Sus scrofa: one gene and its partners. The protein of the gene in region 3 purifies or fractionates together with the protein of the main gene of each other region. This does not show direct contact. Links are inferred from orthologs where the notes say so. Each region holds a gene or a part of one and is shown on either strand. Other genes may lie near its edges.

Evidence for each region.
Region 1: the proteins of PDGFRB (region 3) and RASA1 purify together in Homo sapiens (co-immunoprecipitation; 5 studies listed by BioGRID and IntAct, with this or other methods). This does not show direct contact. The link is inferred for Sus scrofa from reciprocal best matches to the Homo sapiens genes PDGFRB and RASA1.
Region 2: the proteins of PDGFRB (region 3) and FYN purify together in Homo sapiens (pull-down; 3 studies listed by IntAct, with this or other methods). This does not show direct contact. The link is inferred for Sus scrofa from reciprocal best matches to the Homo sapiens genes PDGFRB and FYN.

Annotation. Positions count from the first base shown.
Region 1 is NC_010444.4:94,878,013-94,882,437, forward strand, and holds the start of RASA1 (ras GTPase-activating protein 1), read left to right. Parts: upstream 1-1,602; 5' UTR 1,603-1,700; coding exon 1,701-2,218; intron 2,219-4,041; exon of another isoform or gene 4,042-4,425. UniProt on the Homo sapiens protein: Inhibitory regulator of the Ras-cyclic AMP pathway. Stimulates the GTPase of normal but not oncogenic Ras p21; this stimulation may be further increased in the presence of NCK1.
Region 2 is NC_010443.5:77,618,236-77,621,880, forward strand, and holds part of FYN (tyrosine-protein kinase Fyn), read right to left. Parts: intron 606-3,645; coding exon 426-605; intron 1-425. UniProt on the Homo sapiens protein: Non-receptor tyrosine-protein kinase that plays a role in many biological processes including regulation of cell growth and survival, cell adhesion, integrin-mediated signaling, cytoskeletal remodeling, cell motility, immune response and axon guidance.
Region 3 is NC_010444.4:151,161,803-151,165,447, forward strand, and holds part of PDGFRB (platelet-derived growth factor receptor beta), read right to left. Parts: intron 3,433-3,645; coding exon 3,322-3,432; intron 2,249-3,321; coding exon 2,089-2,248; intron 1,197-2,088; coding exon 1,036-1,196; intron 512-1,035; coding exon 393-511; intron 157-392; coding exon 34-156; intron 1-33. UniProt on the Homo sapiens protein: Tyrosine-protein kinase that acts as a cell-surface receptor for homodimeric PDGFB and PDGFD and for heterodimers formed by PDGFA and PDGFB, and plays an essential role in the regulation of embryonic development, cell proliferation, survival, differentiation, chemotaxis and migration.

The DNA of each region.
Region 1 (4,425 bases), about 56 Mb from region 3:
TCTAAAAGGGTAAATTACATATACTGGAATAAAAAAAAAGGTGAATGATTCCTCCAGTTATGTTTACATGTTCTAATATAAAAGACAGCACAAAAGCCATTGTCTGCACATATTAAGGGTGAAATTTTGGTTTATTGGTAATTCTTGAAACTATACATAATTGTAACCGACACTTTGGGACCTTCTTGACAATTGCCTGTTTAAAGTGCCTGTGTCTTCACGCCCTACTGTTAGGCACACAAACCAGGACAAAAGTGCGTTGATTACTGTTGTCTACAGCACTGCTCCTCTCCACACCTTACCAGTATCCAACAGACTTGCAATAGCACAGGCAGTGTGTCTGAAGACACATACAAACAATAGGGGGAAAGGATCGTGAAGAAAACAATGGTGTATGGTCGTAGAAATCTGGCTATTTCTACCAAAATTCTTAGCCCCCACACACGCCCCCTCCCTTATTCATTTCGTTTTGTCAGAACCTAGTTTAAAAAATTCACATTATTTTAGTTTGTAGTAGTGTTATAGTAATTTATATTATGCAAAGAAAATGAAAACACAAGCAGTACCGCCTAAGACCTTGGAAGCAGTCCGCCCCTCCAACCCCGACCCAGGCCGACCTCGGCCGTCTGGTTTCTGCGCCGCCACCAAGGGAGTTTGTTCTACCGGTCAGGAAGCAGGGAACTGGCTTCGCAGCATCTTCCTTTCCCTTTCCCCCGTCCCTCCGGTCCAACCCCTCCAGGTCTCATTTCGACTCTCCTTTTTTCACCTAGCTGAGCGGCCGCGTGCTCGCCGAGACCCACTCCTCCCCTCCTCCACCCCACCGGCCCAACAAACAAAGCCCAGGGAGGGAGGCGCACACCGACTGTAGAAAAGGCCGCGCCGCCACGCGTTACACCCGGAGCCGGACAGAGAGCGCGTCCGCGAACCGCGCGTCCCCGCCGCTTCCTTCCCTCCCGACTCTTCCTTTTCCTCCTCCAGGCCCAGCACCCCCCACCACCCCTGCACCGGGAAGGAGCCTGCGCAGAAGCTGCCCTCTCCCTCCTCCTCCCCTCGCCCCCCCGCCCTTCCTTCCCTCCGCTCCTCCTCCCTTGCCCCGCCTTCCTTTCTCTTGTCGATTTCTCCGAGCGCTCCAGGTTGGGAGCAATTCAGTTGATTTCCCCACTACCCCGCCCCCCTTCCTCTTTTCTCCCCACCCCTCCCATCTCAGCCCGGTGGAGGATGAAGCGGCTGCAGTGGCCCCAGCCCCAGCAGCGGCACCGGCGGTGGCTGCGGTGGGGGTGGCCGGAACTGGGGTGGTGAAGAAGCGGTGGTGGCGGCGGCGGCGGTGGCGGTGGCTGAAGGATCGGCAGCCGCCCCAGCCGCTTCCCCTGTGCTTCCCTTCCTCTTTAGTGCAGCCGGGAAGTTTTTCGCTTCTGTGCATGTGTGCGTGAGTGTGGGTGTGTAAGGTGAAGGTTTGGTCGGCGTTTGTGCAGGCGTTGGGTTTTTTGCCCACTTCTCTTCCCGTAACCCGGGTAGCTCCCGAGCCTGGGCTGTGGCCCGAAGAGGGGGCGCGGCGGCGGGCTCTCTCCTTTTGTTGTTGTTTCCTCCGCCTGTGGAGCTGAAGGGGGGACGCGCCTGGGTGGGGCGGCTCGGAGCCCGGGCCTGGTGGCCCCCGGGGCTCCCGGGCGAGTAGAGCAGGGCAGAGGAGAGCGGGCTTCAACATGATGGCGGCCGAGGCCGGCAGTGAGGAAGGCGGCCCGGTCACCGCCGGGGCAGCTGGAGGCGGCGCCGCCGCGGGCTCGAGTGCTTATCCGGCAGCGTGTCGGGTGAAGATACCCGCGGCCCTGCCTGTGGCAGCTGGCCCCTATTCTGGGCAGGCGGAAGCTGGAGTGGCCGGGACTCTGGGTGGAGGAGCCGCTCTGGGGTCATCGATCCTGGGACCTGGGTCTGTGGCTGGGGCACTGGCGGGAGCCGGACTGTCAGGGGGAGGTGCTGCTGCTGGCGTGGCTGGTGCTGCCGCTGCCGGACCCGGCGGGGAGATGGCTCTCACCAAGGGGACCACTTCGTTGTCTACTGAGACGTTCGGGGCAGGCGGTGGATTCCCTCCTCTGCCGCCACCTCCTCAGCTGCCCCCGTTGGGCGCAGGCCTGGGAACAGTGGACGAAGGTGACTCTCTGGATGGACCAGAATACGAGGAGGAAGAGGTGGCCATCCCGCTGACCGCTCCTCCAACTAACCAGTAAGTCAAGACCGCTGTTTTGGGGGAAGCTGGCTCGTGGAAAGAAGTGAGAAAACCTGCCTCGTTCCTGCAGCTGTGACTCGTTGTGAAAAGTTTTGAAGCTTAAGGTTCCGTGCGTAGGGATTTAATTTGATCACTCATCTTCCCTACAGGCACACTCCCTGGCGTCTTTGTATATTTATTGCTCCTCTGGGAAGATGTAAATTTTTAAATATGGGAAGCATGGGAAAGTGTAGATCCAGTGACAACCAGATAAGGTTCTGCCCCTTCCAAATTGAGGTGCCGTCCTGGGATTCAGCTGAGCTTGCAGATACCCAGGCGGTCCTTGTCCGTATTAACCCGGGTTAGATGATTAGTAAGAAGCTTTACAAGTATTTGAATGAGTATTGTACTAGTATCATTTGAGACATGCATTGGTCAGAATGCTTTGTTTTCGTTGCGCTGCAAATCGCAAGGCTTAATGATGGAGAAGTCTTTGGATCACTTTTGAGAGCCTGGGTCAGCGAGAAAAGAAGGGGGTTCTGTGAAGTATACGTGTGGTTAGGGGCCCATACTCTGCAATATCTGTAATTTATGTTGTAGAATTCCCATTTATGGATATTAGTGTAATTCTTTTATAGTTGAAACCTAAGTAGAATGTTGGAGCAAATCAAAATAGTGTGCTTCTCTTCAACAGTTTTTGTTGGTGGCCAATGCAGTATTCTATTTGAAAATTAATTTTGACAGTCTACAGCAGAATATATAGGAAGTGACTCTTCCGTATGTAGTACCTCCACCTTGTTCTCTTCATAGGTATGTATAGGTGGACCTTGATGAGAGGAAAATGTTGATGGGGAAGTGCTAATAGTAGGCAAAACTTGTTTTATAGGTCCCTCATATCTGTCTTAATTGACCTTTAGAATTTTGACAACTTGGTGAGTATCAGAGGAAAAAAGATTTGGTTCCTATGTTGACAAACACTCTGTACAGTTGAAAGTTTTTGTTTGCTTTTTGGAAAAGCTTCTTTGGAAGATTTAGAAAGGGCTCAATGAATTAGGACTTTTCAGACTTTAAGCTACATCTTTTGATGGAAAAGTAAAGTTAGTGCTATTTATGACAGCGGTGGTATGGGGTTGTTATATTCCTTTTAATATTGTTCATTTTGAGTTCAGTTTTTTTGGTCTGATTTTATTCCAGCTTTATGTATTGCAGACTTTTTTGAAGGTGTTCTGAGAGTGTTAAAAATTTAAATTACAGCATTGTTTTTACACCTTTAAGACTTTTTGGAAAATCACTTAGATATTAAGGGCCCTGTGGTTATGATAATGTACAACTTTTCATAATAAAAGAGTATATAGTCTTTTGGCATTTCCTAAGTTGAATTAGGCATATTTAGTTTATTGCAGTTCTAAATCCTTTAAATACAGAATTTATTTTGTAGAGCAATTTTAGATTCACAGCAAAATTGAGCAGAAAATGCATTTTTCCCATTAACTTTTTTAATAATAAACATGAATGAGTGCATAGGAAAAAATATGTTTGTAAGAAGTCTCGTGAGATTTTCATCATATTATATGTATTTAGAAATAAAAATATTATTTGTATAGTTATGTATATGAGAATTGTTCATGTTCTAAAAAAGTATCCTCCATTTCTAGTATGTTTCTTAAATTTGCCACTGAGAAGTACAAATTTCCCTTTTTTCTTTATCTTAGATATCAACCCAGAGTCTCTGGAGGCAATACAGTGTAGTGGTTAAGCGTGCAAATTCTGAAGTTAGACAAGATTTGGGTTGGAATCCTGACTCTGCTACTTACTAACTGTGTGATCTTGGAAAGGTCAGTTGCCCCATCTGTAAAATGGGGATAATAATGGTATCTCCCTCAAATGGTCGTTTTTTAAGGTTAATGAGAACCCCCTGAACATATTCAGCACAGTACCTGGCACATTGTAAGTGTTGAGTAAATTAATAGTCTCCTAAAATAACAGTATAATTTTATTGTCATTGATTGCCTACTAGTTCTGTTGGTATAGGAACTCCCTTATTAATGGCTCTTTTAGAGAATGTTTTGAACTCCAAAGGCCTGTCTACTATGATTAATTATGTTAAAATTTTTATTTTAACTTCATAAAGCCTTCCAGCAGGTTAAGCAGGTTTAGAGATGAAATTCAAGTGTTTCCTATAAATTCTTATTTTAAATAAAAGGAAAAGCCTAAATGACTTGGTT
Region 2 (3,645 bases), on a different chromosome or scaffold from region 3:
CTGGAAAAAAAAAAAAAAAAAAGATGTTGAAAAGATGGAGACTAAACTTGGCCCAGAGATCAGTGTCTGATATTCACACTTCACCCCTGCACACAATTTTTAACACAAGCTCTGGCATTGCAAATAAGAGCAAACTTTCAGAGCCCTCTGTAGCACCCCTGATACTAAAAATGAATTTCTTTAATTGTGGAGAGGAGCTAGAACTCCTGACACACGCTGTGTTTCACAAGGATCTGGGGGGCGAACTCCAGGTCATAGTGTGTTCTTGAAATGTTTTCATTAGTGAGGACTCAAAACTGCGCTTCCTGGGAAGAATGCCTGACCTACGGAGAAAGGCGGAAAAAAAGCCAGCAGGCAGCTCTACATCCCCCCCCCTCCAGAACAACCCTGCAGGTCACTGTGAGGTGGTGCCCAGGTCGCCCAACCTTTATTCATGTACTCGGTGACGATGTAGATGGGTTCCTCTGATACCACGGCATAGAGCTGGACCAGTTTGTCATGCTTCAACTTCTTCATGATCTGTGCCTCCTCGAGGAATGATTCTGGGGACATTGTGCCTGGTTTGAGAGTCTTTATGGCTACTTTTGTGTTTCCGTTCCAGGTACCTGCGGACATTCCATAATATGAAGTCAAATCAAAGAATCTCTCTTGAAGGGGAAAAAAAAATTCTTTTAATCCATAGTTCTTTGTTAGATTTTAAGTTTTAAAAAATTTAATATAGTTTCTGTTGAACAAAGACAATCAAATGTAAGGACTCTGTCAAGTATTTTCAACAGGAAAAATGTGTTTACTTATGGCTATACCATGGTTTATAATTCTTTAAAATTTTTTCTGTTTCCTTTTCTGGCTCAGTCATGTGATTATAAATTGGTATCAAAAAGTTCTGGATACTTTTTTCCCTTCCAGTTTTATTGAGATATAATATAGCACTGTATATGTTTTATGTATAAAGCATAATGATTTGAATTATATAGATCATGAAGTGATTTATATAGATCATTAGTTTAGTGGGAGTTCCCATTTTGGTTCAGGAAGTTAAAAACCTGATATAGTGTCCACGAGGATATGGGTTCAAACCCTGGCCTCGCTCATGGGTTAAGGATCCAGCATTGCCACAAACTGTGGCGTAGGTCACAGATGCTGCTGGGATCCAGTGTTGCTATGGCTGTGATGTAGGCTGGCAGCCGAACCCGTATGCTGCAGGTTCAGCTGTAAAAAGGTTTAGTGAAATCCATAATCTCATATAGATACAAAATTAAAGAAACAGAGTTAATTTTTTCTTCTGATGAGAACTCAGGATTTGCTCTCCAATCAATTTTCAATAACATATAGAAGTGTTAATTATATTTATCATGCTGTACATTAGTCCCCAGTACTTTCTGGATGTACCTTTTTTTTTTTTTTGGTCTTTTTTGTCTTTTTAGGGCCACACCTGAGGCAAATGGAGGTTCCCAGGCTAGGGCTCAAACTGGAGCTAGAGCCACTGGCCTATGTCACAGCCACAGCTATGTGGGATCCCAGCCACATCTGTGACCTACACCACAGCTTACGGCAACGCTGGATGTTAACCCACTGAGCAAGGGCAGGGATCGAACCTGCAACCTTATGGTTCCTGGTCGGATTCGTTAACCACTGCGCCACAACGGGAACTCCCGATGTATCTTTTTAAGGATGAACGTCCAGAGGTTAGAACAGGCCTGGTCATCCAGCTGCATCTCTTAAGGCAGCAGAATGAGCATGGAAGAAATCAGATTAAGTTCTACTTCATGGGGTGGGCCACTTAAAAGTATACAGTAACACACTGAGGATGTTTAGAAGTTACCTCTAGACTCTCAATTGTTAGCCATGGATGAGCTACTTGACTGAGTCCTTGAAAAGTTGAGCTGAGTGTGCTGATAAGCACTGGCAAGAAGTTCACTGTCTCCTTGCCAATACTTCAACCAGGAAAGGAAAATTCCTCAAGTTTACTGAGGGTCAGCCACAAGAACAATGACTTCGAAACAGCAGCTAAGAGGGAACAGAACTGTTTAAATTTCACGTGTTTGAAAAAAAAGTCTAGAAGGTTTAGAGGCAGCCTGGTTTATGATCACCATCATTTACCTCATCTGTAAAACACAGGAATGAAACTGGATTAGCTTTAGTTTCTTTTTGCCCCCAAATTTAAAATACCCACTTCATTCTATGTGTATCCATTATGAGTCTAATGGCTTTGAATTAAAACTGTCTACAGGGAAACAGAAAAAATCTGCTAAGTGAAATTATGATGTTTTCTCTTTGGAAAAGAAGGCTGGTTTAACTTAACTTTTATATTTTCCTATAATGGGTTTTACAACTAAAAAATTCTGTGAACTGGAGCAACTCTGTTACCTTGTTAAAAGCATGGTTCATATACCACAACATGCAACCTACGAAAACGTAAACTATCAAAGAATAAGGGGCTTAAAGAAGAGTTCGCTCCAATCTTATAATAATAAACTGACCACTAAATGTAAATGGGAAATGTGACAATTTGTATAGGGTCTGTGTGAGCAGTGTAGCACTAATGAAATTCAAGTAGAGCGAGATTTTCCTTTCGAGTAACAGCCTAGTTCCTTATGTGTTCCTTCCATCCTGACCCTGAACTACCCCAACATGATACTTTATGTTCAATGGGAAACAAAACCTTAATAGCATGTGTAATGACTTAAAGATGGTAATCTTAAAGTTTGAAAATAAATGTTCATATACAGTTTAATTTGTCCTAATTTTGTGAGTGACTGCATTAAAATCCTTAGGACCCACAACTTTAATTATAAATCAAGTGGATGACAGAGAGAAGGGCCATATAAACACATTTTACAATATGAGAGTTAAAGTCCAGAGAGAGACAGGCACAAAAATGTGGACTCTGAAAACAATTTTAATGATAATAACCATTATAACTGCTCTTGCATATACACATATACATACATGTGTATGTCTGAGTGTCTCTCTCTCTATGCAGCACTTACTAGTCTAAGTGCTTTAACTATATTACATTTTCTAATGCAGACCACACCTAAGCACCTATACCCACACAAATCAACAGGTACCAACCTCTATTATTTTTAATTGGATCTAAGAAAGGAAGAAGGAGGATTCCATCAGCATCCAAATTACCTTACTGATGGATGTTTCAGGGTGTTAGCGAAGCAGTGCAGGGCCAGTACAATTGGCAGTGTCAGTGATACAGCAACCAAACTGAGAGAAGTACGTGTGTCTACTGAGCACCTGCTGTATGCCAAGGGCTCTAACATACCGTCCCATGTAATCCTTACAACAATCCCATGAAGTAGGTCTTATTCCAGTTTTATAGATGAGGGCACTGAGGGTCAAAGAGATTTAATGAGCCCCTTGTTCATGGTTAATGAGCGAGGAAAGATTCAAACCCAGGCCATTGAGCAAAAAAGCTGGTGGTCTTTCCCTCCAGGAGCCCTGCTAGACAATCTTACCTTCTCGTGTCTTAGGAACAGCAAACACCGGGGTCCTACTGTGCTGGTTGCCTGTTCTGTGTGTGCCTTCACTAAGCACACAAGGGTATACAGGTGGCTGGTCTGTGCCCACCTAGCTATCTGGGTTTATGTGTCTTGGTCCCAATGGCCGTATATGTGTTTTGGTTCAAAACCG
Region 3 (3,645 bases):
CGAGCCGCAGCCACACGGACCGCGCGGACTCACGCTGCCTTTGGAGATGTAGTTGGAGTCCCGCATGATGTCACGGGCCAGGCCGAAGTCGCAGATCTTGACCAGCTTGCCCTCGCAGATGAGCACGTTCCTGGCCGCCAGGTCTCGGTGGACGCACTGGGGAGGAGGGAGACGGGGCTGAGCCTCGGGGTCCGTGGGGGGCAAAGACGCGTCCAGGGCTTCGGGGCTTCGGGCAGGACACAGGTGGCTCAGGTGGGAGCGGCCACGTGGTGCGAGGCAACGGGTTGACCTCACCCCCCGAGGGCCGCCCCACGGGGCTGTGCACTTGGGAGACCCTGGCCGGCTGCGCGAACCCCCCAGGACCCCACGCCGCTCGCGGTGACCGAACGTACGTTCTTGGAGGCCAGGAACTCCATGCCATTGGCCACCTGGTAGCTGAAGCCCACGAGATCCGTGTAGCTCAGCACCGGGGACTCGTTGATCAGAGTCGGCCGGCAGGTCCTCTCAGGAGCTACAGGCAAGAGCAGAAGGTCACCCGACAGGTCGCCGGCCATCGGCTGTGTCTCCCCGTGGCCCGCGGGACCCTGGTCTCTGGCCCGTGGAGGCTGAATGTCCAGGATTTTCAACTGTCTAACAACTTCCCAACGTCTGACTTCAGCCCTCCTACCACCTCAGAGCCCTCACGGCCTAGAAGAGCCTCTGCAATTCGCTCCGGGCCACCTCTGCTCTCGGGGCCCTGGACCGGCCCGGGGCCAGCTCTGAGCAGACCACGTCTCCCCGGAAGGCCAGGCGCGCTTCTCACCGTGCCATCTCCCCGCCCTGCAGCCCGGGCGCACCACGCCGGGCCCAGAAGCGGGGGTTCACACGGGGGCTCCATCACACAGCGGCTTTGGGCAGGCGGATGGCCTCTGCTTCCGCCTCTATTAAACGGGCACCGGACCGCCTCCCTGGCGGGTTGTTGTTGCCCAGCTGGGCAGAGGAAAGGCTGCGGAAAGGGGGCAGCCTGCACAGGCGTGAGGAGCCCGTGACACCCACCCGAGGGGACGCAGTTATCATAAGGAGCCATGTAGCCGGAGGGCTGGATGTCGGCGTACTTGACGTCCCCCCGCATGTCCAGCATGGGCACGTAGTCCACCGACTCGTCCTTGCTCATGTCCATGTAGCCGCCATCGCTCTCCCCGGGCAGGGCCACGTGGCTGGGGGCAGAGGGGCGTCACAGCAGGAGAGGCGCGGGCTCTCCCACTCCTGCCGCTCCTGCTGCTCGGCTCGGCCTCTCCCTCCTTCACGTACGGAGCCCCCACACCCGTGTGTCGCAAGGGGATGCCCATGTGACAAGCCCTTCCAGACAACCTCAGACCCACCCTGAGCTGGGCATGGAGGCTGCCAAGATGACACAGGACCCAGGGCGAGTCCGCAGAGCACTTGTGCCCAGGGCAGGCACGGCACCCCGGACAGGGCTCAAGGACCACCTGTGCCCAGGTGCTTTTCGGGGCCACTCCAGCCCCACCCAGCCAGGATGCCCTGCGCGTGGGCACGGACCGCCTTCGCGCCTCTGCCCGCAGGTCAGCTCCCCAGAGCGTGGCAGGGCTCCCTACACGGGTCCCTTCGGGGAGGAAGGACTGGGAGGAAAGCAGTCAAAACGGGGGAGGACACAAGCCAGTGTCTCTGCGTCCTTCGCGGCTGCCTCAAGTTCCTCTCGGCTCTGGAATGAACATGTGTGGCCTTTGTCATGAGCACGAGAAGGAAGAACTGTTATTTTTGGAAAAGAAGAAGATCGGGTGAGGTGCCCTGAGGCCCTGGAGAGGCTGGTGTGCGGAGCGGGTGGGGAGGCTGCACAAGGGAGGACAGTGCAGGAGCCGGTGTCAGCCTGGGACGGGGCCCCGGGTGCTCGGGCAGGGTCAGGGGTCGAGGAGCAGCACCAGGCCTGGCACAGTCAGCAGGTGGCAGCCGGTGCCACCATCCCCCTCCTCGGGGTGCACAAGGGCCAGGTCCCCAGCCGGCTGGCGACCCAGGGAAACCCGGCTGCAGGAGTGACTCTGCCCACCCCGGCCTCTGCCTCCCGCCCGGGCCGGGCCGCCCCCTCGGTACCTGGGCAGCGGGAGCCCGACGGGCAGGGCGTTGCTGTAGAGCTCGGCGCTGGGTGGCCGGCGCTTGTCGGAGCAGCGCTGCAGGAAGGTGTGCTTGTTGCGGTGCAGGAAGTCCACCAGGTCGCCGTAGCGGCAGTACTCGGTGATGATGTAGATGGGACCTGCGGAGGGACGGGCTCAGGGACAGGCCCAGGGACAGGCCCCGGAGCCCTCCGGTTTCCCATCACAGCCATCAGGCCAGCGGCAGGCTGCAGGCGGGACTGCAGGTGCGGCAGGCTCCAGGCAAAGCTGGGTTCTCTTCCTGACCAGGAACAAAGGTGCCCAGTCTCCCTGAGGCTTCCTCGCCCCACTTAATAGGTGCACCCTCCAAGAGGGGCACGGAAGTTTCAGGAGATGAGGCCTTGTCAGCTCAGCTCAGGGTTAGCTGTTTTCGACAACGTGGACTCAGGAGCCCAGGACATAAAGGCAACAAAGCCAACTGTTCATTGACAGGTCACTGTTTAAATTCAAGCACCACACATGGACTTAGAGGCCATCGGTGGCAGCTTGAAGATACTAGTGGAATCAAAAATTTTGAAATGTGTGATTATTGCAGACATAAACTGGCCCACGTACACAGCGTACTTCTGTATTCTGCTCTGGTTTCGCAATACTGAGGAAAATCCCAGATCTTGCAGTAAGCAGCTGCAAATGGTGATAACTTTTTTTTGTGTGTGTGGCCTAACTTGTAATCAGAGCTTCAAATAAAAACATCTGGCAGGGGGCGTTCCCTGGCTGTGCAGCGGGTGAAGGAGCCAGCATTGCTGCTGCAGCGGCTCGGGTCTCTTCTGTGGCGCAGGTTCAATCCCTGGCCCAGGAACTTGCCCATGCCGCTGGAGAGACCTCATTCCACGAGCTGCATGAAAGCAGCCCCCAGGGAGCATGCTGGGGGGGTCTCCGGGGTGGGGCTGCCGCTCATTTCAGGGTCGCATGAGCTGGTCCTTATCTCAGGCTTTAACATCATTACGAAATGTTTCCACGTCAGAGGCCTCCGTGATTTAGAAACCATTCGGGCCGGGGACCGGAGGAGCGCTCTGGCCGGGAAGGTGACGCGACTCTGTGACCGTCAGGCTCCGTGCGGCGACGGCACTGGACAGGATGGGCACGCCCTCTGGCTGGAGTGTCCTGGGGTCCAGGGACGGGGGGGGGGGCCTTTGGCCCCTGGCACTCTCCCAGAATCCCCTGGGGCGGGTACCTCCTTTAGTGCAGGCCCCCAGCAGGTTGACCACGTTCAGATGAGGCCCGAGATGACTCATGATCTTCAGCTCCGACATGAGGGCTTGCTTCTCACTGCTGCGCGCTGTGGCTGCGGGACAGAGGGGGGGCCTCAGGCCGGGGCCGTCGCCGAGGCCCGTGGAGGCCCCACCAAGGCCTCTGGCCCTTCTGCCCTGGTCTGCGCTGACCCACATACAGACCCAGGCAGCCACGGAGGCAAGATCCCCGCCCAGAAGAGGGGGGGGGGATGGGGGGAGGGGAGGAGGCCCCCAGAGGAGGAGAAATTTCCCAAAGCAGAATCCCC